4 linked regions of the Schizosaccharomyces pombe genome follow. The protein of the gene in region 3 interacts with the protein of the main gene of each other region in a pairwise test. Each region holds a gene or a part of one and is shown on either strand. Other genes may lie near its edges. The genes, in order: tef3, pek1, hsp16 and tcb2.

What was found.
Region 1: the proteins of hsp16 (region 3) and tef3 interact in a two-hybrid assay, tested with the Schizosaccharomyces pombe proteins (one study listed by BioGRID).
Region 2: the proteins of hsp16 (region 3) and pek1 interact in a two-hybrid assay, tested with the Schizosaccharomyces pombe proteins (2 studies listed by BioGRID).
Region 4: the proteins of hsp16 (region 3) and tcb2 interact in a two-hybrid assay, tested with the Schizosaccharomyces pombe proteins (one study listed by BioGRID).

The regions. Positions count from the first base shown.
Region 1 is NC_003421.2:1,683,541-1,689,761, reverse strand, and holds tef3 (translation elongation factor eEF3), read right to left. Parts: upstream 4,118-6,221; 5' UTR 4,097-4,117; coding exon 953-4,096; 3' UTR 811-952; downstream 1-810.
Region 2 is NC_003423.3:4,310,319-4,314,827, reverse strand, and holds pek1 (MAP kinase kinase Pek1), read right to left. Parts: upstream 2,386-4,509; 5' UTR 2,066-2,385; coding exon 974-2,065; 3' UTR 688-973; downstream 1-687. Other genes in the region: fit1 (CoA pyrophosphatase (FIT) family lipid storage protein), read right to left, coding at 1-340; ATP-dependent RNA helicase Dbp8, read left to right, coding at 3,072-3,201, 3,269-3,392, 3,482-4,509. UniProt on the Schizosaccharomyces pombe protein: Involved in the mkh1 signal transduction pathway that plays a role in cell wall integrity. Activates spm1/pmk1 via phosphorylation.
Region 3 is NC_003423.3:2,659,452-2,662,908, forward strand, and holds hsp16 (heat shock protein Hsp16), read right to left. Parts: upstream 1,542-3,457; 5' UTR 1,471-1,541; coding exon 1,039-1,470; 3' UTR 688-1,038; downstream 1-687. Other genes in the region: SPOM_SPBC3E7.17 (uncharacterized protein), read left to right, coding at 2,345-2,527; ric8 (synembryn ric8-like protein), read right to left, coding at 3,037-3,199, 3,246-3,308, 3,387-3,457.
Region 4 is NC_003421.2:530,588-537,791, forward strand, and holds tcb2 (tricalbin, C2 domain protein (phospholipid binding) ER-plasma membrane tethering protein Tcb2), read left to right. Parts: upstream 1-2,069; 5' UTR 2,070-2,734; coding exon 2,735-6,301; 3' UTR 6,302-6,615; downstream 6,616-7,204. Other genes in the region: tyrosyl-DNA phosphodiesterase Tdp1, read left to right, coding at 1-196; translation elongation factor 2 eft202, read left to right, coding at 6,739-7,204. UniProt on the Schizosaccharomyces pombe protein: Has a role in meiosis.

The sequences.
Region 1 (6,221 bases), on a different chromosome or scaffold from region 3:
TAGAATACAGGATTCAAGTCTAACTCCTTAACCACTCGGACATAGTGACTTCTTGAAAGCTATCTCAAATTTGTGATATATATTCACAGTTTTTGTAAAAGGTTAACTAAATCTGTTATTCGAGAATTTGAATTGTGTTATACAAATTGTAAAACTAGTTGGTAAAAGGGATTAATTATATTTTTTTAACTTATATTTATTCTTGTTTTATATCCTAAAAAAATACGCTTATGCTATTTATCTTAAATTTGCATAGTTTCATCTACTTAATATCAAAAATTTCCGCTATTCTCTTACCATATAAAAAACAGTTAAGCAATCTGTCGCAAATATTAATTAAATCTCATTTCTTTGTATTTTTTTTGTATTTTCTAAGAATAATCCGGGTTCCTCACCAAATTTCTAGTATTAGCAAAGAATACCTATGCTGCAATTTTCAATTGACAATTAATTACCAAATGTAATTAAAATTAATTTAAAAATAACGAAAAACAAAATTCAAGTAAGATATAATTAAAAAAAACATTATAAAGTATATACAAAATGGATAATTAATAAATACATTCTAAACTGTTAATTTGTCTTCCTCTGGACGACGAACGCCTTTCATCGATTCTTACCAAAGTTGAAAATTAACAGCAGCTTTTTAGAAATTACATTGATAACATACATGTAGTACACACTTATGGGTCTTCATATACACTCACTTTACATGACAAACTATATTGATAAAACAATTGTCAACTTGAACAATGATCTTTTTTGAGACTTATACTTCGCTCTCAAAAAACTCATACGTTACCACATGTTAGAGTCGTATACTGGAACAATAGCTTATTAATTTCCTAGCCTAGCTAAATCAAAAGTACAGTTACCATCTAATTAATTCAAACCATAATAACAACCTTAAGGACCGTAAGATTCCACAATTAAAAGACTCATAGCAGACACCTTACAGCTCATCGTCACTGACCTCAAGACCAGCCTTACGACGAGCCATACGCTCCTTCTTCTTCTTACGGAGCTCAGCACCAGTGAGCTTCTTGGCCTTCTTAGCCTTTTCAATTTTGTTACCGAAAGCATCAAAAGTATCGCCCTCCTCCTTCTCTTGGATACGAGGACCAGAACCTTGACCGGAAACCCAGTTGTGACCGGAAGGAGTCATGTGACCGTTGTTGACAGCCCAAACTTCCTCAGTCAAACCTTCAGTGAACTCACGGGAGTGAGTGACCAAAACGACACCACCACCAAAGTTCTTAAGACCCTTGGAAAGAGCACCAAGAGAGTCACGATCAAGATAGTTGGTAGGCTCGTCAAGAACGATGACGTGAGGACGCAACCAGGTACAAGCAGCCAAGACAAGCTTGACCTTTTGTCCACCAGAAAGACCCTTGATACGAGAGTGAGAAACCAACTCAGCATCAAGACCCAAAAGGCTGCAGTGCTCCTCAATCTCCTTACGGACCAAGGGACGGAATTGACCACTCTTCAAGGCCTCAGCACGGTCAACTTCAGCAACCATCTTAGCGTGAGTCTCCATAAGTTCACCACGAGGTAACCAAGCATTGTCGGAAGACATCATAGGAACCCAGCGCTCACTCTTCATGCCAATGTTCTCACCGACGAGGAAAGAGCACTCATACTCATAAGAGTTCTTGAGCTTACGACGGCTGTGGATACCCAAAATCTTACGTTGAGTTCCCTCAATCTTGAAGATCTTGTTCTTCATAGCCTCCTCATCAGCCTCGCTGATGACACGAGAAGCCTTATCCATAGCCTCCAAATCTTCACCAGATTGGAAACGCCATTGGATATATTCTGAGGGAGTCTTATCAGGGTGATGACCCAAGTGAGTGAAAGCGGCTTGGGCAACGTAGGCGATACGGCAGTTCTCGTGTTGGTAAATTTCACCAACAGTGGGCAACAATTCACCAGTAAGAACCTTAATCAAGGTAGATTTACCGGCACCGTTGGGACCAATAACGGCAATACGAGAAGAGAGAGAAACTTGGAAAGAAATGTCGTTCAATTGAGGCTTTGAGGTACCAGGGTATTGGAAAGACATGTGTTGGACCTTGATGATAGCACGTTGCTTGGTCTTAACACCTTCCAAGAAACCGGGTTCAGGGAATTTGAATTCCATTTCGGAGGCACCCAACTCATAGTAGGACTTGGCGGAAGGAACCTTCTTAACGAACTCGGACATGTTACCAAGATACTTACGAAGCTTGAAACGCTCGTAGTGGATAATGGCTTGAACAACGTGGTCCAAGAAACCAGAGTCGTGAGAGACAATGATGGAAGAAACATCCTTTTGGTTAACCAAAAAGTTCTCCAACCAGGCAACATTGACAACGTCAAGATGGTTGGTAGGCTCATCAAGCAAAAGAATATCGGGGTTCTTGAACATAGCACGGGTAAGAGCCAATTTCATCTTCCAACCACCAGAAAGGGAACCGATAGGCATGTTAATGAGTTCATCGGTGAAAGAGTTCTCCTTCAAAGCCTTGACAATTTCATCACGGTCCTTGATGGGGACAGCGGGATCTTGGAGAATGAAATCGACGGAAGGAGTGTCGGCTTCAGACTCGTCGATATCGTGCTCAACGTAGACGGTACGGAGATGAGTAGGGAAACCTTCAACTTGACCGTTGACAATGGCACGCATAAGGGTAGACTTACCGGAACCGTTAGGACCGCAAAGACCATAACGACGACCACGCTTAAGACGGAGACGAGTACGGTTAAGAAGAATCTTGGCACCATAAGCAAGAGAGAACTCACAGTTGCAAAGATCCTCACCCTCCTCTTCCTCCTCAGCATGAGAAGCACCACCAGGAATCTTGGCGATAGAGCGGGTACGGAGTTGCTCAACGATCTTGTGAATGTGGGCCTCGTCAATGAAGGCAGTCAAGTAAGGAGTGATGTTGAGAACCCAGGACTCATTTTCGTTATCCTTCTCTTCAACGAGTTGGGCAGCAATGTTAGCAACGTACTTAGCAATAACCTCCTCGTTGGTGGGGACCTTGATCTCACCGAGAACAGCCTTCAAAGTTTCGAGACAAACTTCAGGGTTGGCGGCGGTAGAAACCTCAGGGATCTTACCGTCAACAACGTTACCAACACGCTCTAAAGTGGTGATGGCACGTTGAACAACGGAACGACATTCAGGGTCACCAATGGTGTCCTTGATGTGGTACAAACCAGGCAAAAGCTTGGGCAAGAAAGGAGCGACGACTTGAGGATCCTCGACAAGCTTGGACATGTTGTCAATAATGACAGCAGTCTTACGCTTAATGGGAGTGGAACGCTCATTCAAACCACGGGCCAACAAGGGGACCATGATAGACAAAGTGGGGGCCTGGACTTCAGTAACGAAAGTAGTGGCACCCAAAGAGTGAATAGTCTCAGGGACCTCCTCGGGGTGAGCAATACAGTTGATAAGCTCAGGAATGAAACGGTCAATATCGGCGTTGGCAATCAAAGTACAGACCTTGGTCATGGTTTCCTTGGATTGCTTCTTAACCTCAGCCTTGGTATCCCACATGGACTCGGAAACAACAGGGATAATTTGAGGAAGGGAGTAGGATAATTGGGAAGGAGCAACCTCAACGAGAACATCCAAAAGTTGCAAAGAGTTCATCTTCTCATTCCACTTACCAGTGGTGTGGATGGACTCGAGAACAGAGGGGACGATGGCCTTGACGGCATAAGGGGTAGTGCAACGGACAATAGCCTTAGAAGCAGCAATGGCAGCATCTCTGACAGCGTTTTGCTTGTCAGCAACCTTGGCGATGACGGCGGGCAACAACTCGACCAAGTAAGGCTCGACATCAGCGGCAACACTACCATGGTTGGCAACGGCCTCAAGACCCTTCAAGACACGCTCACGAGCAGTGGCGTTCTTGTCGTTCAACTGCTTGGAAATAGCAGAGAAAACTTGAGAAGGCGCGTCTTGCTCTTCGATGGGTCCGTTGACAAAAGAAGCCAAAGCCTTGGCAGCATCAGCTTCCTCTGCGGCATCGCAGACAGTAAGGTGCTTCAACAACTCTTCAAGAGCTTTGACTGACTGCTTATTCTCACTCTTTGCAGACATCCCGGGGAAATGGTTGTTGGTAGATGAGCGGAGGTCCTGGTTGTATATGAATGGATTTTCTTAATGAAAATTTTGCAACTAAGAAAATACAGAAGGAGTACTTAAAATAAAATAATAATATGTTTTTATGTATTTAAATCTCATATTTACAATGTGACTGTTCTTTTTCTTTGGTTTTCTTCTTGGTGGTGGCCATAATCCACGGTTTCTTTGGCGGTGTTTAGTGGTTAGCGACGTGGAAAAACTATTAAGCGGCAAAATTAGAAGTCGCTAAATAAAATAACGTGTTTAGTGGCGGCGTCCTTTGTATGACGATATCATTGTAAATGTAAGGCTATATTAAAGATATCACTATAGATAAAGCATGCCATGAACAAATCGACGCGGTCCTTATGTCTCGTTAAACTAATACCACACTGCGTTGTTAAGAACGATTTTTGACGCTGTAACTCTTCTTTTCAACATATGTTGCTTGTAAGCTTTCCGTGGCTAAATGACCTCTGGCAATAATATGGTTTTGGTCGCATAACATGATGCAGTAGCACTAAATGAATTTAGCATAGGGTCGGCATAATCGCATTCAGATAGCTGCTGTCGGACATCATATTTTCAGAGTCAGAACTGTAATGATTGTATATTGGATCGTTATATACCCGCATCATTTATATAAGGTGAATATAGATATATCCTTCATTGAATTTCTATAAGTAAACTCAAATGAACTCCGTTTATGAGTTCATTCGCGAGTTAATTTAAGTGCATTCATAGTAATGTATTACATTATTACAAATATCTTAATACATATTTATAATCATTCATATTGCAATACGCGGGTCATAAAGGTCGCAACTGGGGTATAGTTATTCTGTTATACAGGTTATATTTTTACCTATCACTAATATAGCGTATAACTGATCCTCGTTCTTCATTTCAATTGTGCTTCCATTTGCATTATTCAGATAGTATAGAACTTATTATAATTTCATTAGGAACAATCGTAATATCGTATCATCTATGGTATAATTAGAATATGTAGCATATAGTGATATTCAGCGTTGTGTATCGCAGCGTATGTAATATTGCTGACACCTTAACCGATTTAGCAGAGTACGTAACTGACGAGTTTGAAGCAGTTTTTATGTATTACCATTTTTACTTAATAAAAATTATGTAGAGCGAGTGATGATGCCAAGTTTCTCTTTTATTTTGTAATAATCTATATTAGTAATATTTACATACCTGTCAACTTTTTTTTTCGCAAATTTTTTTAAACAATTTCATGGAATTAATGTTTGAAGAAAACATATCAGATCAATGATCAGCTTGAATAAAAAAAAAAATTGAAAAGAAAAGAAAGTTTTCAACTAGTTGGTTCATTCTAGTAAGTGATGATTGTAATTGATTTAAAAAAAAAAAAAATCCTTCGCTTAATAGAAAGAATGCTTTTCTTTGTTGTATTAAAAAAAATACTGAGTAGTATTAACTTAATTTACTTAGATAAATTAATTTACATATACTTATTTATTTATTATTATTTTTTTTCAGCTGCTCTACATATCTCAAGTTGATGAGTTGTAGAGGACTTTATTTTCGCATTCACTCAATTCAAGTTTCGAACACACTATGCAAATTAAAAATGTTCTCTTAATGAAAAGTATATTTGTTCGTATATTCATAGTTCAATTTACCGTTGCGATTGAAATCATCGAAATGTAGCATCATGTAACACGGTGAAAATAGAGACTGAAACAAATAATTTCAGGCTACATACCAACTATACGTAGGAAAGCAAATTTACGCTTGTTCGTGAAAACCTATGTACTCAAGCATAATCGTAGCGGACTTTAGTGTTTTTAACGTTTATTCCATCAATAATTAATATACTTAGGATTCACAGTGTGAAATGAGGTTAACATACCTTAACTTGAGGAGAGTTAATCTAATGAAAATCATAGTTACGTTTTACATATCATCAATGTATGTACTATTGTTTTGTGTATGTGCCATAGGCATGCCAAATAACATGGCTATTTATAATGTAAACGAGTGTGTGCAAATGTATAATTAATTTCATTAACTTCTTTTGAAAATATCTGCTTCTAACACAAACATTAAACCTTCTAAA
Region 2 (4,509 bases), 1.7 Mb from region 3:
CAGGTCCTATAAACCATTGGGTTACAAACATCCACCATAGAGTGGCCACTATATACCTTGAAATAAACTTGAAGTCAATTTTGTTTCTCTTTTGATCCCAAGCATGATAAAAATATACTAAAGAAGTCCAGAACCAGCCTCTTTTTACAAAAATCAAATTAATCAAATTTTTCGAGTTTCCAAAGTAAGAGGTAATCGACCATTTGTCAACATAAATGCTATAAATGCTACCTAGAAGAAGTGTAGTGGCATATATTTCAAACAGAAGTATATCTTTGCGACGAAGCTTCAATATAGAGGTTTCTTCATTCCAATAATGACTAGCAGTTTTTTCAGTCATTTTTTTTAAATAATTTTTATTAGGCAGACAACGTATACAAATTAAACTTAAAAATAAAGATAGAACGGTGTAGTGAAAAGCAATTAATTCATTGAAAGAGTTAAGGACATGTATACCCTGGGAAGTTTGGTGTAGTTACACCACCAACTTACGTGCGTAGACTAGAAAAAAAACGAATCATTGCCTCACGTTATAAGAGAACGAAAAGAAATAGTCCTTAATTGTGGATAATTAAATATACGAATTCTTTCGTTTTTTAAGTTGCCATATAACGCCTATTTTGCCTATTTTTGTTAAAAAGCTAGCAAGGCGTAAATCTATCATTTCTCGCTACGATTTGAGTATGCATAATCAAGCCAAAATTATTTCTGTTAAAAATGTTAAACCCATAAAATTACTATAAAGGAGGTATTTGTATAAAGAAAATTAGAAAAACCGTTAGCAATTAATAAAAAGTATATATTATTATGACTTTCCTATTTATTTCATACAACAAGCGAACTGGAAGACAGTTAGACTCATAATATTTTGCCATTAATCAGATTATGCATTCTCCAATGTAAAGAAATTTAGCATAAGAATTTTCAAACAGAATTTATCAACTTACAGTGCTAACATATGACACTATTTCTTCTAATCAGACCAGACTTGACGAAGGAACTCTTCCATGTCCACATGAATTCTCTCAAACGCTTTAACCCAAGGATGGGTAAGCATTTTTTGGGGTCCAGGACGACGAGTTTTGTCTTTATCCAGACACACGCATAGAAAATGTTGAAAGGATTTCGACCATTTAATACCGGGTTCTTGAGGTAAAAGGGGAGGTGGCATATTTATTATATACGAGAGCAATTCAATAGGCATTGGTGGGGGGCTACCCTCGGGAGGGAATGGAAACCGGTTTAATGCGACCTCCATCAATGTTAAACCCAAAGACCATATATCTGACGATATAGTATAAGATCCCCCAGAAATTCGTTCAGGCGCCATGTAATACGAAGTTCCAGTGAATGTGCCAGCGAGAGAGTTAACCAATTCTCCAGATACACCAAAATCGCATAACTTCACTTGACCTTTTGACGTCAGAAGGATATTTGATGGCTTAATATCACGGTGTATTATTTTCCTGTCATGTAAATAGCTTAAACCGCTAAGGACACCGAATGCAATCTTGCCCAATGGTCGTTCTCCAGTGCGTCCACCTTGACTGCGTACGCGTTTGTATATCGCGTCGAGAGATCCTGCTCCGCAATATTCCATAGCTATGTTTAACTGACACTCTGCGTTATTGTAGCAAGCGCCATAATATTTAACGATGTAAGGAGAGGTACAACTTCTGTTGATTTTTAACTCTCGAAGGAGTTGCTTTTGTAAAGCGGTATTCGGAGCAGCTAATACAGTTTTCATAGCGAAAATCATCTGAGTCCCACGAATTCTGCATTTCCTTACAGAGCCACTAACACCTTCACCTAGACTGTTCATGTACAAAATACCTCCATTTGTAACCAATTCATGTAGGTGATCATCATCAAGTTCTTCCAGAAAGGAAGGAACAAATGTTTTACTATCCCGGCTCTCCTTTCGCTGAGTTAATTTCGACTCGCTAGAAAACACCAGGTCTGTAATCTCGACAATTCCTTGATTGTCATTACGTTCAGGATGACTTATATATTCTTCAGAGAACCCATTACTGGTATCTAAGTTCAAGACAGGTTTTTTGGACATAGAGGCATGGGCGCTTTCTTCGATATTTTTTCAATTTGTAGAAAGAGTGACAAGAGATGACTGATACCAAGTCCAAAAGTTTGTTTGTATTTTTAACAAACTTCAATTTTTATTCTTCTTTTCCAAAAACGCAAGGAAAGTAAATTCTAACGTATGGTCTTCCCGCTAAATAAACCTACCAATTATAAACTTTTTTGAAGTTTTTGCTTCCTGAATTAGAAAATTAGAGGATAGCACTATAAACGGAAACTTTGATGGAAGAGTTAATTCCTCGCAAACAAACAACCGAGGCCTCTATTAGAAGAAATCGTATAGTTTTCGGAAGCTATACTAAATACGATTGACCATTATTAGTATAACCTACATTTCTAAATTAGGACTTCACTAAATAACTTATGGACTTAGCTATGTAGATACGTTATTTTAGAATTAGTGAGACCTTTGTTAAAACGACTTCGGGAATTGTTCATTACGAGTATAAGTTAATGTAATTATGAGACTATCATATCCTGTGAGCTTTCTTCTTTTATTTACTATAAATGTCTACCTCTAAAATTATAATTAATTTTGTTCAAGGAAAACATAAAAGAATATATTTATCATTGCATGATTTTCTATGGCTTATAATAACTACATACAATCCGTTAACTATTATAAGAACACGATTAACTACGTAAAGTTCAAATATTGTGTTTTGCACGTTGGTTTACCGAAAAAGCACTAAATAACTTACAAGCAAACTGAAGAAATTAGTTTGAGTTCTATCTGTACTTATTTTAGAGAACAATAAAAACTTTATGTTAACCATATGAAGATTTTATCTGTGTATGTTGACCTAAAAGTCATTGAAAAATGTCGCATCAGCAATAATGTCTAAAGCAGCGTAATGTAGCGTAGCGTGTTAATTTTGCAGTAAGGGCAACAAGTTGAATCCCAATAGTTTGGTTTGACAGTACAGTAACCATTATATTTAATTTAAATAAAACCCTTACATCGGGGAGAAAACATGTCAGAACATACAAGAAAATCATTCTCTGATTTAGGAATATCGCCATGGCTTATCGATACGCTAAAAGCACTTGCAATATATGAACCTACAGATATTCAGGAAGGAGTAATTGCTCAGATTTTAGAAGGTATGCTTACAAAAATTAATAAAGTAAAATTAAGTGTAAAATGTGCCTAACAAATAAAAATTTATAGGACGTAATTGTATTGGAGGTGCTAAAACAGGTTCTGGTAAAACTGCTGCTTTTGCTTTGCCTATTATTGAAAAATGGTCTAAGGATCCATCAGGAATATTTGCTCTTATTTTGACACCAACCAGGTATAAAATATAACATTATTGTACTTTTTCTTAAAATTTAAATTAGTATAAATGTTAACTATTCTACTACAATTAGCTAACTCGAACAGAGAACTTGCAATACAGATTGATGAACAATTTGCTGCTTTAGGTGCTAATCTTAATTTAAAGCATGCGCTCATCGTTGGAGGCATGGATATGATACGACAATCTATTGATTTATCGAAACGGCCCCATGTTGTTGTAGCTACTCCTGGTCGCCTAGCTGACTTGATTAGAAGTAATGGTGAAGAAACGATAGCCGGACTACGTCGAATAAAATTTTTGGTAATGGACGAAGCCGACCGTTTGTTGTCTCCTACCTTTGCTGATGACTTGGATGATTGCTTTTCTGTTCTTCCAGCCTCTGAAGATCGTCAAACGCTTTTGTTTACTGCAACTGTTACTGATGCTATTCGTCAGCTCAAATATCAGCCACAGAAAAATAATAAGCCTCCCCTTTGGTTATACGAAGTTGAAACTGATAACATTTCCGTACCTTCTACTTTGCAGCAAAGTTACATATTTGTTTCCTCACAAGTACGAGAAGCTTATTTGGTGCATTTGTTAACGATTCCTGAGAACGCTAAAAAGTCTGCAATTATCTTTGTAAATCGGACTCGCACTGCTGAATTGATATATTCTATTCTTCGATTGCTCGAGCTTCGTGTCACCGAACTTCATTCAGAAATGGTACAACGTGAAAGGATCAATTCACTTGGACGGTTTCGTGCGGAAGCTGCAAAAATTTTGGTAGCCACTGACGTTGCAAGCAGAGGTTTGGATATTCCTTCTGTGCAACTAGTAATTAACTTCGACCTTCCTCGTGACCCAGACGACTATATTCACCGAGTAGGTCGTACAGCTCGTGCTGGACGCAGTGGCGAGTCCATTTCCATTGTAACGGAGAGAGATGTTGATTTAGTCCATGCTATTGAGGATCGAGTAGGAACTAAGCTTTCTGAATATGAACACGTGTCAGAGAATAAGATGCTTGAATACATCAAGGAAGTTACGGACGCTAAACGCCAGGCTTCTCTTGAGATGATCGATAGGGGATTTGGTGAAAGGAGACAGAAGCGAAACGAGAAAAGGCTGA
Region 3 (3,457 bases):
AAACGCAGCTGTTTGATAATAAATACTTTAGGTTTTGGTGTTGATAGAATAGTGTATATTAACGAGATTCGCCGAATTTAAGTTTTACAAAGCCATAGCAATACAAGAGCTTTCGGCTTTACTGTAGAGCTAGATATTATAGCAAACAAGAATTTGGTTTAATCACACACGAAAACCATAACATTCTTAACTTTAAACTGTATGTTGATTACTGAAAAAGAAAGGTACCCTAGGCTATATATTTATGTGTACTTTTTTTTATAGGAAACATTGGATCACCCAAGGATTAGTGGTAGTATGGAAACACTCGCTCAAGGCCAAGGAGATTTAACTACTTTTAGGTTAGCGTGTCCATGAACCAATGAACTAGTAATATAAAGAATAAAAATAGAAAGGAACACATCTATGAAGCCCTTGTCCCTAACATGAAATCACAAAACTTCCGCTTAAACAAACCTTATGGCTCACTAATAAAACCAAAAATTGTTAAGAGCATATTATCAGATCTCCGCAAAAGGAAGACGATTTCATTGCCCCGGTGATTTAAGACTCAAAGAGCATACACAACTTTATGATATGCTAATGTAACTCCTGTTAATTCATTAGGAGCTACATAATACTGTTCTTTTTTTTTGAAAAAAATAAAAATAAATCTACACATATTACGATAGAGCATTTTGAAACAACTTGTTTTCTAATTAGGAATAAAAAAATATTTATTTATTTATTTATTTTGAAAAATTGCTAGAGATCACTTGCTCATCATTGGAGAATCGTAACAAGTGGTAGTCAAGATCATTAAAACACTGTCTGACAGCTGGCCATAAATTGCTTGATGTGGAATTTAAATGCTCTTTTACTGTTTAGAAGACCGTGTTCAATTCATTATCAAAATTCATCAATCCAATGGCAAGCGGATCATTAATTGCATATGTTATGATTGATTGTTAAATCAAACAATAATATATGCTCACAATCCAACAAGATTGGTCTCATAACCATTTCGAAACTATCATATTAAAATCGGAAGAGACGATTTTACTTAATAGCAATTTGTTTCTTAGTTTGGGACTTCTCGACCTTGGGCAAGGTGACAGTCAATAGGCCATTACTGAAGTTGGCCTCAATGCGATCTGCATCAATCTTGGCTGGAATAGTAATGGTACGAGAGAATGAGCCAAAGCGACGCTCTGACCAGCGTTGGTTACCCTCGGTGCTTTCATTCTTTCTCTCATTGACGACTTCGCCAGAAATAGTAAGTTTTCCGCTATCATAATGGACTTGAACGTCCTCTTTCTTAACACCAGGGAGTTCTACATCAACGCTAACAGTGTCTTTACCCTCATGCACATCAATCGAAGGAGACAACTCCCCAGGAATTTGGTTGTTCAAACGAGGGGAGTAACTAACAAAGTCAGAGAACAAGTCGTTGACAGTAGGGGGAAAGCCGAAAAAAGGTTGCAAAGACATTTTTTAAAATTTAAACAATTGCGAGTAACTTGAAATTATATGAATTCAATTCAAATCTGTATTTGTTCGATGCTGGACTAGCGGAAGGAGTACCCTTATTTATACCTTTCTGGGAAGCACGGAATGGGATGGATGTCATATATTGTACGATGACTCGAATTTTCTCGTAAACGTTGTGAAAGATCACGAATTTGCCGGAGTTTGTACTTTCGGAACGGCGTCTTTTGCTAACACTCAAACTCTGTATTGGGTGGACTTAGATGTTCGTTAGTGCTTGCTCTAGAAAAGTCCAAATTTGCCACTTATGCGCCACAACCGAGGCAGATTCAAATATAAACTTCGGTACGCAAGGCTGTGCTATCTTTCTAGAGAGATCTAGAAAATAATCATTCTAGTAGAGTTAGAAAAATACTCATTTCATTGACTGTATATCGTTTCCTTTACCTTATTTTTTTTTTTACTTTGTAGTCAACTAACCAAAATAAAATTTTTAGGACGCATTTAGATTTGTAAATAAACCATAACGTAAGAATTTTTCTTTCTAATCTTATGATTTGAGCGCTTTATTGGCAAAGACGTATTTTGTGCATTCACGCAATTGTTGCTCATGCACTTGAAAACATTTCATAAATCTATAAAACTTATGCGACTTCCTCTTGTTCGTCATAAAATTGTTCTTCTGCAATATCTACGTTAAAAGCATAGCAATATGAATAGTTAATTCCTTTACTTTACACAATTGTTGGGTTAAGTTACGCAAATTTCTGCGATTGTTAACTTTTTAAATATTCAAATAATAAATATATTTGAAGGAATCGGACGTTCTACTGTATCGTCGCACCTCATATTAGATGTTTTTTCCATCATTGCAGTAATGCTCACGGTAGAGTGTTTGATTTACGCAATAAATTTCACAAGTGACTCAATTGGAAGATCCTTAAAATTGTGGGGTACATCCCGTCGCTTACGATTTGCGGAGACGGAGAGTTTTCACAACAAAAAACCTACGTCATTATTTACCCAACATGAGTTTTCCTATTCATGCGCATATCAATGAAATCTATATTATCGTAAAGTCAATTTCGTACAGCTGTCGTTTTAATCTTTAGTTTAGAAAAAAGTAGCTAACTCTCTAGCAAGGAAAATAAATATTGAGGTTTATAACATGATTCAACCACTACATTCGAAAAGCAAATGAAAAATTTACGACGGAAGCTATCGCTCTTTTTTCAATAAACAAACCCTTTCCTGAATTGTTGACAAAGTTTATTATTAATTACTAATAAACAACTATGAGAAAAGATGGGGAAACTGCAAATTATGCCTAATGACTGCCGAATATCATGATATTACTTCCATCTTTCCATTCTGCCGTCTTCTTTTAAGTCTTTTACCTACCGAATAATACATGATCAAAATCTTACTAAAAATAATGTCGTTTAATAACTCATTACATATTACATACCGCATAATGCGAATTGCAATATCCGACGGTTAAAATATAGACATTTACGGTATACAAATGAAGTTTACCAACTCACTAGACAATGTAAAATACACGACGTACTAACTTGCTTTGCTAATTTTGATAAAATGAAGAATTTCATGAAATTTAAAAGTGGAAAACATTAACAGTAAAATATGTATAGGTCCAACAAAACTATGATAACAATGATATATGAAACTCTCCGAACTCATTTGAAAAATAAGACAAAAGACAACGTCTATACTTTAGTTTTTTTTAATCAGAATCATTATCATCCAATTTCTCATACAAGCCGCTATTTACAGCTTGTTGGATAGGATTAGTAACTTGAATAGTACTATTTTTTTCCAAGCTACCAACGTCAGCCAAATATACTCGAGACATATATATGTATTTTTTTAAAAAAAAATAAATAAACAAACAAACTTACCGTTGAAACAAATAGAATAATCTTTCTGCTTCTCGCTCTTTCTCTTCTTGGCTTAACTCAAGTCTTTGAGA
Region 4 (7,204 bases), on a different chromosome or scaffold from region 3:
GACTCCTACTTATAAGACGAATACTCCCAATCTGGATGAGAAAAGGAGAGAGTTTTATGGAAAAAGAGTAATTGGTGTACGAATGTGTTGGGATTTCCCACCTGTTGAGTATGAAGACAAGGATGAGATATGGTCGCCTGTGATAAATAGAACGGATAAGGACTGGTTGGGTTATGTTTGGCCTCCCAATTGGTAAATCATAAGGACGTTTATGATAAAAATACTTCATAGGCTTTACAAAACATGGACAATTCGATTAAATTGAAGTATCTATACATTGAAGTTGACATCACAGACTAGACAGCAGAGCTTTCAACAGAAAATGTTGAGCCTTTTTTTTTACAATACTCTAATTGTTTAAGGGTAATTTACTTCTTTATTTTGGATAGGTTTTTATGTCACTGAAAATGTTTGATAGCCCCAAGTCTTTGGAAACAGTCAGTAGGATGTTCAAGAAAACGGAGGTTCCGACTTTACAGATTTTAATACGTGAAATTAATTTTTTTTGTTTAATTTCTCTTTTCTCTGGCAAAATTGTAAGCACAAGATAAGGGACTATTCAGTTGGACTCTCAGCTCATTTGTTTACATTCAGAAGATATATAACGCATCAGTGTCGCTGTTTTATGTCTCGCAAATATCAAGTTAAGATAGCACGTCCAACCACGCTACATATTAAACGATGTATTGCAAATGCATTATACTGAAAGAAATAATAGGAAACGAAAACAGTAGTCCGATCATCCATTGATTATGAAAAAACAGCTTATTTAAAATGCATTGTACTTTATTAGTTAAAGACTAAGGAACATGAATTTTTGGCAGTTTAATAACTAGTAGTATATCCATCATATCGATTACGCGGTAGCTAATGAAATTTTTTTTAGATTCTTTAATTATAGGAAAATATAACAGGTACATTTTTTCCTATCCTATTACGAGCATAGAACAAAAGAAGAAGATAATGTTTTTAAACGTTTTATTTACATTTCTACAATTGAGTTTCGGTAGTTTTCAAGCATGTGCAAATAACGAGCTGCATAATTATGCTTTTGCAAGGTACGATACAATATACCTGAAAGTTGTTTGTTTACATAGCAGTGTTTCCTTTTTACCTTTACTTTCCACCAAGACCTATGAATAGAAAATTGTTAAGTTTTGGTTCATATAGAAGATCCGTAAAATGTTTGAAATAATTTAATTATAAAATACTTTATTCTTGTGCTGAAAACATGAAGAAAGGAAGGCTAGTACGCGACTCAAGCCTGTTTTCTCATTGTTTTGTTATTGGAGGATTAATTTGTTTTCCTTAAGAAAAGTTGTTTATCAAATTTCTCTTTTCTTTAAAAGATTGACGAATTATTCCAATCAATTGTTTGTTAAGCGGGTTGCATATTCCTCAAGTTGCTAAAAGCTTTACGTCTTTGGAATGTTTGTTGTACAGTTTTCCTCTAAAGAAATGTCTTTTCCCGCTCATTAGGATAAAATTCTGCATCAATGATTTTGTTTGGTTGTTTTATTTACTACCTTGCATCTATGTGCTTATAAACATCTAAAATTTGAAATTTGAAATGTTTCAAATTTACATTTTTAAAGCTTGATAAAATGCCCACAAGATAATACAAAAATACGATTTTATGAAGGAAAACATGGAAGAAATTCATCATGAATAGAGTTCTTTTAACAATCGCGGAAAAAAATTACTTGTCTTAAATTTTTAACGAAATAGTTGAGTTGATGACATTTCCTTTTCTTCACTGCGTCTTATTTTGACATTTCTTTTACGACTTTTGCTTTCTTCAATTGTTTCCAGTTTCCTTTGCTTCTTTTACTTTCGTGATTAACGCTCTACTATGAACCACGGTGCCCACCGCTATAATAAATGCTGGGGGAGATGAGCTTACCTTGTTTATTACTACGGATGCTGTCCACTACACAATCGTTTCTTACGTCAAATACAATCTTATAGGCGAAATACACGATGGTGATGACTTTCTTACGCAATAAGATATATGGTTACGTTTGCATAAGTGCAAGGGTGAATTGAGAAATTCAGGTGTTTTTATGCCTACGCTGTTCGCATATCTAAATTTGTGTTTCTTTCATCGACAAACGAAGTCCAAATCGACTTTTAAAATATTTGACTTGCTTGTCCTGTAACTGTGAAAACGACTATATTATATATTGGTTTATAAACAGACAGACATCGTCAATACCCCGTTTCCAATTTTACTTGTTTATCGTTCATATTCTTTGAAAAACGTAACATCCATCGTCTTATCCCCGATACATCCTCTGTTTATTTATTTATTTCAATTTAATATTGCCTATCTCCTTCGTGAAAAACTCGCCGATTCATTTTTACAGTCAGTGTTTTGTTACTGCTGATAGAGCTTGATACATTTCTTGAGAAGGTGCTTTTAAAAAGAGAAAGAAAAGAACAAAAAAAAATCTGGGCTTTATAGGAAGACGTTAATAAGAAAAGTCCTTATATACACAAAAACCAAAACCTCCGTTAAAACCGAAATCAAAAGCAAAATTCAAAGAAATAAATTATTTTCTTCTTTAAATCAATTTTGCATTGGTGTTTGCCTTATTGTTGCTTCGTATATAAATTGCCAAAAAAATTAGTTCTTTGAAAGTTGAACCCTTCTTTGTTTTTATATAGTCTATTTGTGTACTAACCATCCGTTTCTTTTTTTTTTTGAAATTTCCTATACTTTTTCGCTCCCAATATGTCTACTCATAGCGGAGATTCCACCAAGCAACAACACTATCGCTCTTCTGACCCCTATTCAGGACGTCGTCCGATCCCCACTATTCCAAAATTCTTTCGCGATCGCAAACAGCGTGCAGAGAAAAAGGAAGAGCAACAACGGGAACAGACTGAAAACGAAAAATTATTCGACCCAATTACCCAGCGAGATGTAGAGATTAACGACGTTCATTTCGATTATGCCAAAACATATGATGATCCTAGTTTTACAGTTCCTAATCAATCAATCCAAGGTTCATCCTTACCTTCTGAAAAGCCTTATTTGTCATCCAACCAACCAACAAATGTTTATAAGCAGCATCAAGATGATTTAGCTCCACCAGAAGCGGATAATCAAATCACTCGTGATGTCCCTATTAGCGATGAAAAAACGAATATTCTCTTTTTCCCCTCCCCTTCCATTGATCTATCTTATGTATCGAAAGAGGTCAAACAAAAAACTGGTCAATATTCTTTGTTTGCATATATATTTTCTCTCGTAATTTCGTGGTTCTTTACTCATTCTATTATCATTTCAGCCGTGTTGCCTCTGGCCATTTCTTCATGTATGTATTTATGGATGCAAAATATATATGCTGTTGCCAAGGATGCGGAATGGGGCGCTGAACAAAAACGCGGAGAATACGCTCGTTTGAATTTGATTCCCGAAAGCGCCGAGTGGATGAATCATTTATTGGAAAAAGTTTGGCCCTTAATCAATCCTGAAATGTTTTCTTCTGTAGCTGACCAAATTGAAGATGTAATGCAAGCCTCTATACCGTCGTTTGTTGAAAATGTGCGCGTTGCTTCTTTGGACCAAGGAAGTCATCCCGTTCGTGTTGTTTCCATTCGAAGTTTGCCTTCAGGTGAGGCCAGTGAATCGTTTAGTGAGAAGCAAGCCTCTGAAGCTGAACACAAAGACGAGCCAGAACAGCAGCGAAAACAATTTTATAACTTCGAACTTTGTCTAGCTTATCACGCCAAACCCGTTGAGGATGCAACATCAACCAGTGCTCGAGCTTCCAACCTGCATTTACGCATAGTTTTTTATCCAGGTATTAAAGGTACAGTGGGATTTCCCCTTCCAATATGGGTCGAGATAAAAGGATTTGTTGCTAGAATCCGCTTTCGCTGTGAACTCATGCCTGAGGTTCCTTTTTTGAAAAATGTCACCTTCTCTTTGATGGGACTTCCCGAACTGAATGTGTCCGCTGTTCCCGTAGCTGAGGGAGGTGTTAACATATTTGGACTTCCATTAATTTCAAAATTCGTTAATGACGCTATTTCCGCGGCTGCAAATGAATACGTTAGTCCCAAAAGTATGACTATTGATTTGTCCAAGACGCTTTTAGGAGATGATATAAAGAAAGAGGTCAATGCATTGGGCGTTATTTTTGTTCATATTAATCGTGCAGAAGATTTAAGTAAGCAGGATGTGAATGGTCTTTCTGATGCTTATATAACCGTCGGTTTTCATAAGTTTGGTAAACCTTTGTACTGTACACGCGTCGTAAAACAGGATCTGAATCCTATCTGGAATGAATATGCTTTTATTCCTGTGTTCCCTGATCAAGTTAAAGCCGGTGAGAAGATTTCTATTGAATTATGGGATAGTGACAGGTTTAGTCCCGATGATGTAGTAGGCCGCACGAAAATCGGTTTACACCTTCTTATTCAAGATTCTGGAAAAATGCATGAAAGATGCGACACGCTTACTGGAATTAGTGAAGATACTAGTCTACCTGGCAGGGTGTTTTACGAAATTGGGTACTTCCCTAGAGCCGAATTTAAACCTTCTTTAAAAACGAGTGGACATGATATCACTATTCCAAGGTCTATGAGAGATGATCCAGCTTTTCAAAATCCACATGGCTCATTGGATAATAAAGAAGAGGAAGCTGCTGTCACGACTGCTCCTGATGAAGAGTATCCTAGTGGCATTTTATCTTTTACCGTGCATCAAGCTGTGAATTTGCAAATGAACCATCCAACTGGTACTTTTGGAAACGTGAGTGGAAACTATAACACAAGTCCGGCTCAGAGCGTAGGAGATGTAACAGCTGAAGAAGGTTCAGAGCTACCTTCTTCCTATGTTTGTGTTGATTTAGATGACACACTCGTGTATAAAACACGAACCAAGGTATTTACATCAAACCCTATTTACAACGCTGGAAGCGAAAAATTTGTTAAGGATTGGAGAAATGCAATGTTGTGCTTCACCGTACGTGATTTCAAATTGCGTGAACATGATTCCATTCTTGGAGTCGTTAACATTCCACTCGCTACGACGTTAACAACTTCTTCCCAACTGACAAAATGGTATCCCATACAAGGTGGTATCGGATTTGGGAGTGTTCGCATTTCCATTCTTTTTAGGAGTATGAAATTGAAAATTCCCAGAAATTTGTTGGGTTGGGATATTGGTACTCTGGAATTCATGGATCGACAAATTGTTGCTGAAGGAACAGGAAGTGTATCTGATGTTTCATTCTCTTCAATTAGAGTTAACATAGCAGGCGTAAAAATTACTGCTAAAAGTAGTACTTCCAATTCTTCCAGCACTGCTGAATACCATGTTCGGAGTAGACATGCTGTAATTCCAGTTAACAATCGTTACAGATCAGCTGTTGTGTTCGAGTTCAGAAAACAACTTCAGAGGAAACATAATGTATTTGCCATGGTTTGGTTGGTTGATCTGGAAGACAATGTAGAGCAAAACATTCGGGTCCCGATTTTTACTTCGTCCAAACCAGCACATGTTTTACAAAACATGATAGATTTTGATCACCCGGATAAAGAGTCAGAATTTAAAATCATTGGATATTTGAGTACTAGGATATGTTTTCATCGAGGTTTGGACGATTCCCACGAGCAACTTGTTGACAACGACGATGAAGCAGCTATATTTGAGACATATAGATGCCTTAAGTCAATGGGTTTAAGAAGAGGTTACGTGAAAGACATGAAGAATCCGTTAGCGGATCAACGAGCAAGCCTGGATGAAAGCCGAGAGACTACCACTGCATCTTCTAAATTTGAGTCAGATGATTCTGTTGATACCGAGGACGAGGAGACGACCACGGATCGGACACCAATTGAGTGTACACAAACAGTTTCAATGGTGGATCCAAATGTCAATGGAGATATCCAGGGTAGAAACTCTCTAGGTACGATGAATAGTAATGAACGTAACCTTGAGCAAGAATTTATTTCTCTTGGTTATGCCTCAAAAAACCGACCGAAAGCACACGCTCAAGAAGGTACTAATCAACCCGGCGCTTCTGAGAACGTTGAACCTGTATTAGCAGATGATAGCGATGCTGTTACAATACATAGCAATATTTCCAGTGATGATCAAAAAAGGAAATTGGTGAATGCTGATGATCGTGAATTGGAGAAGCGATTACATCGTGGACCTTACAACTCAAAAATTGTGCGCACAGGAGAATGGGTAAAAGATGGAGCGAAGATGGGATGGAGAAATCTTCGAAGAAAATTTGCTTTGAACGGACGACAGCCAGATGTTGAAACCGAGATTTCAAAATAAACACAACTGTGCTTCTTTTTAGCAACGTAAATGAATTATTGATGGCTAACGATGGATGAAACGACTTTTTGCTACAAAAGTATGGAAGAACATTCTTGACCGTGTGTTCGAGATTTAAATACGTGTGTTTGATTATTTATGGTCTGTTCATGATAAAAGTACTAGCAACACCTAAACTGATGTAGGAAACCAAACTGATGATTACATGATATTATTTATATTTATACTGCAAAAAATTTATCGGTTGGCTTACTAAATTATTACTTCAACTTTCTTAATACACGTATTGAGTATGTAAAGTTATTGTTGACGAAAAAACCAGTCCCTGAAGTAGCTAAAGTAGGGTAGGGTTAAGGAGACCAGAAAGCACACATAAAAATTTTAGGCTTTGATTTATAACTAGAACCAACCACGCACAAAAAAGTACTATTGCAAGTATGGTCGCGTTCACACCTGAGGAGGTCCGTAATTTGATGGGCAAACCATCCAATGTCCGTAACATGTCTGTGATTGCTCACGTCGATCACGGCAAGTCTACGTTGACTGATTCTTTGGTTCAAAAGGCCGGTATTATTTCTGCTGCCAAGGCTGGTGATGCTCGTTTCATGGATACTCGTGCTGACGAACAAGAGCGTGGTGTTACCATCAAGTCTACTGCCATTTCCTTGTTTGCTGAAATGACTGACGATGATATGAAGGATATGAAGGAGCCTGCTGATGGTACTGACTTCTTGGTTAACTTGATTGACTCTCCCGGTCACGTTGACTTTTCTTCTGAGGTTACTGCCGCTCTTCGTGTCACTGACGGTGCTTTGGTCGTTGTTGATACCATTGAGGGTGTCTGTGTCCAAACCGAGACTGTGCTCCGTCAAGCTTTGGGTGAACGTATTAGACCAGTTGTTG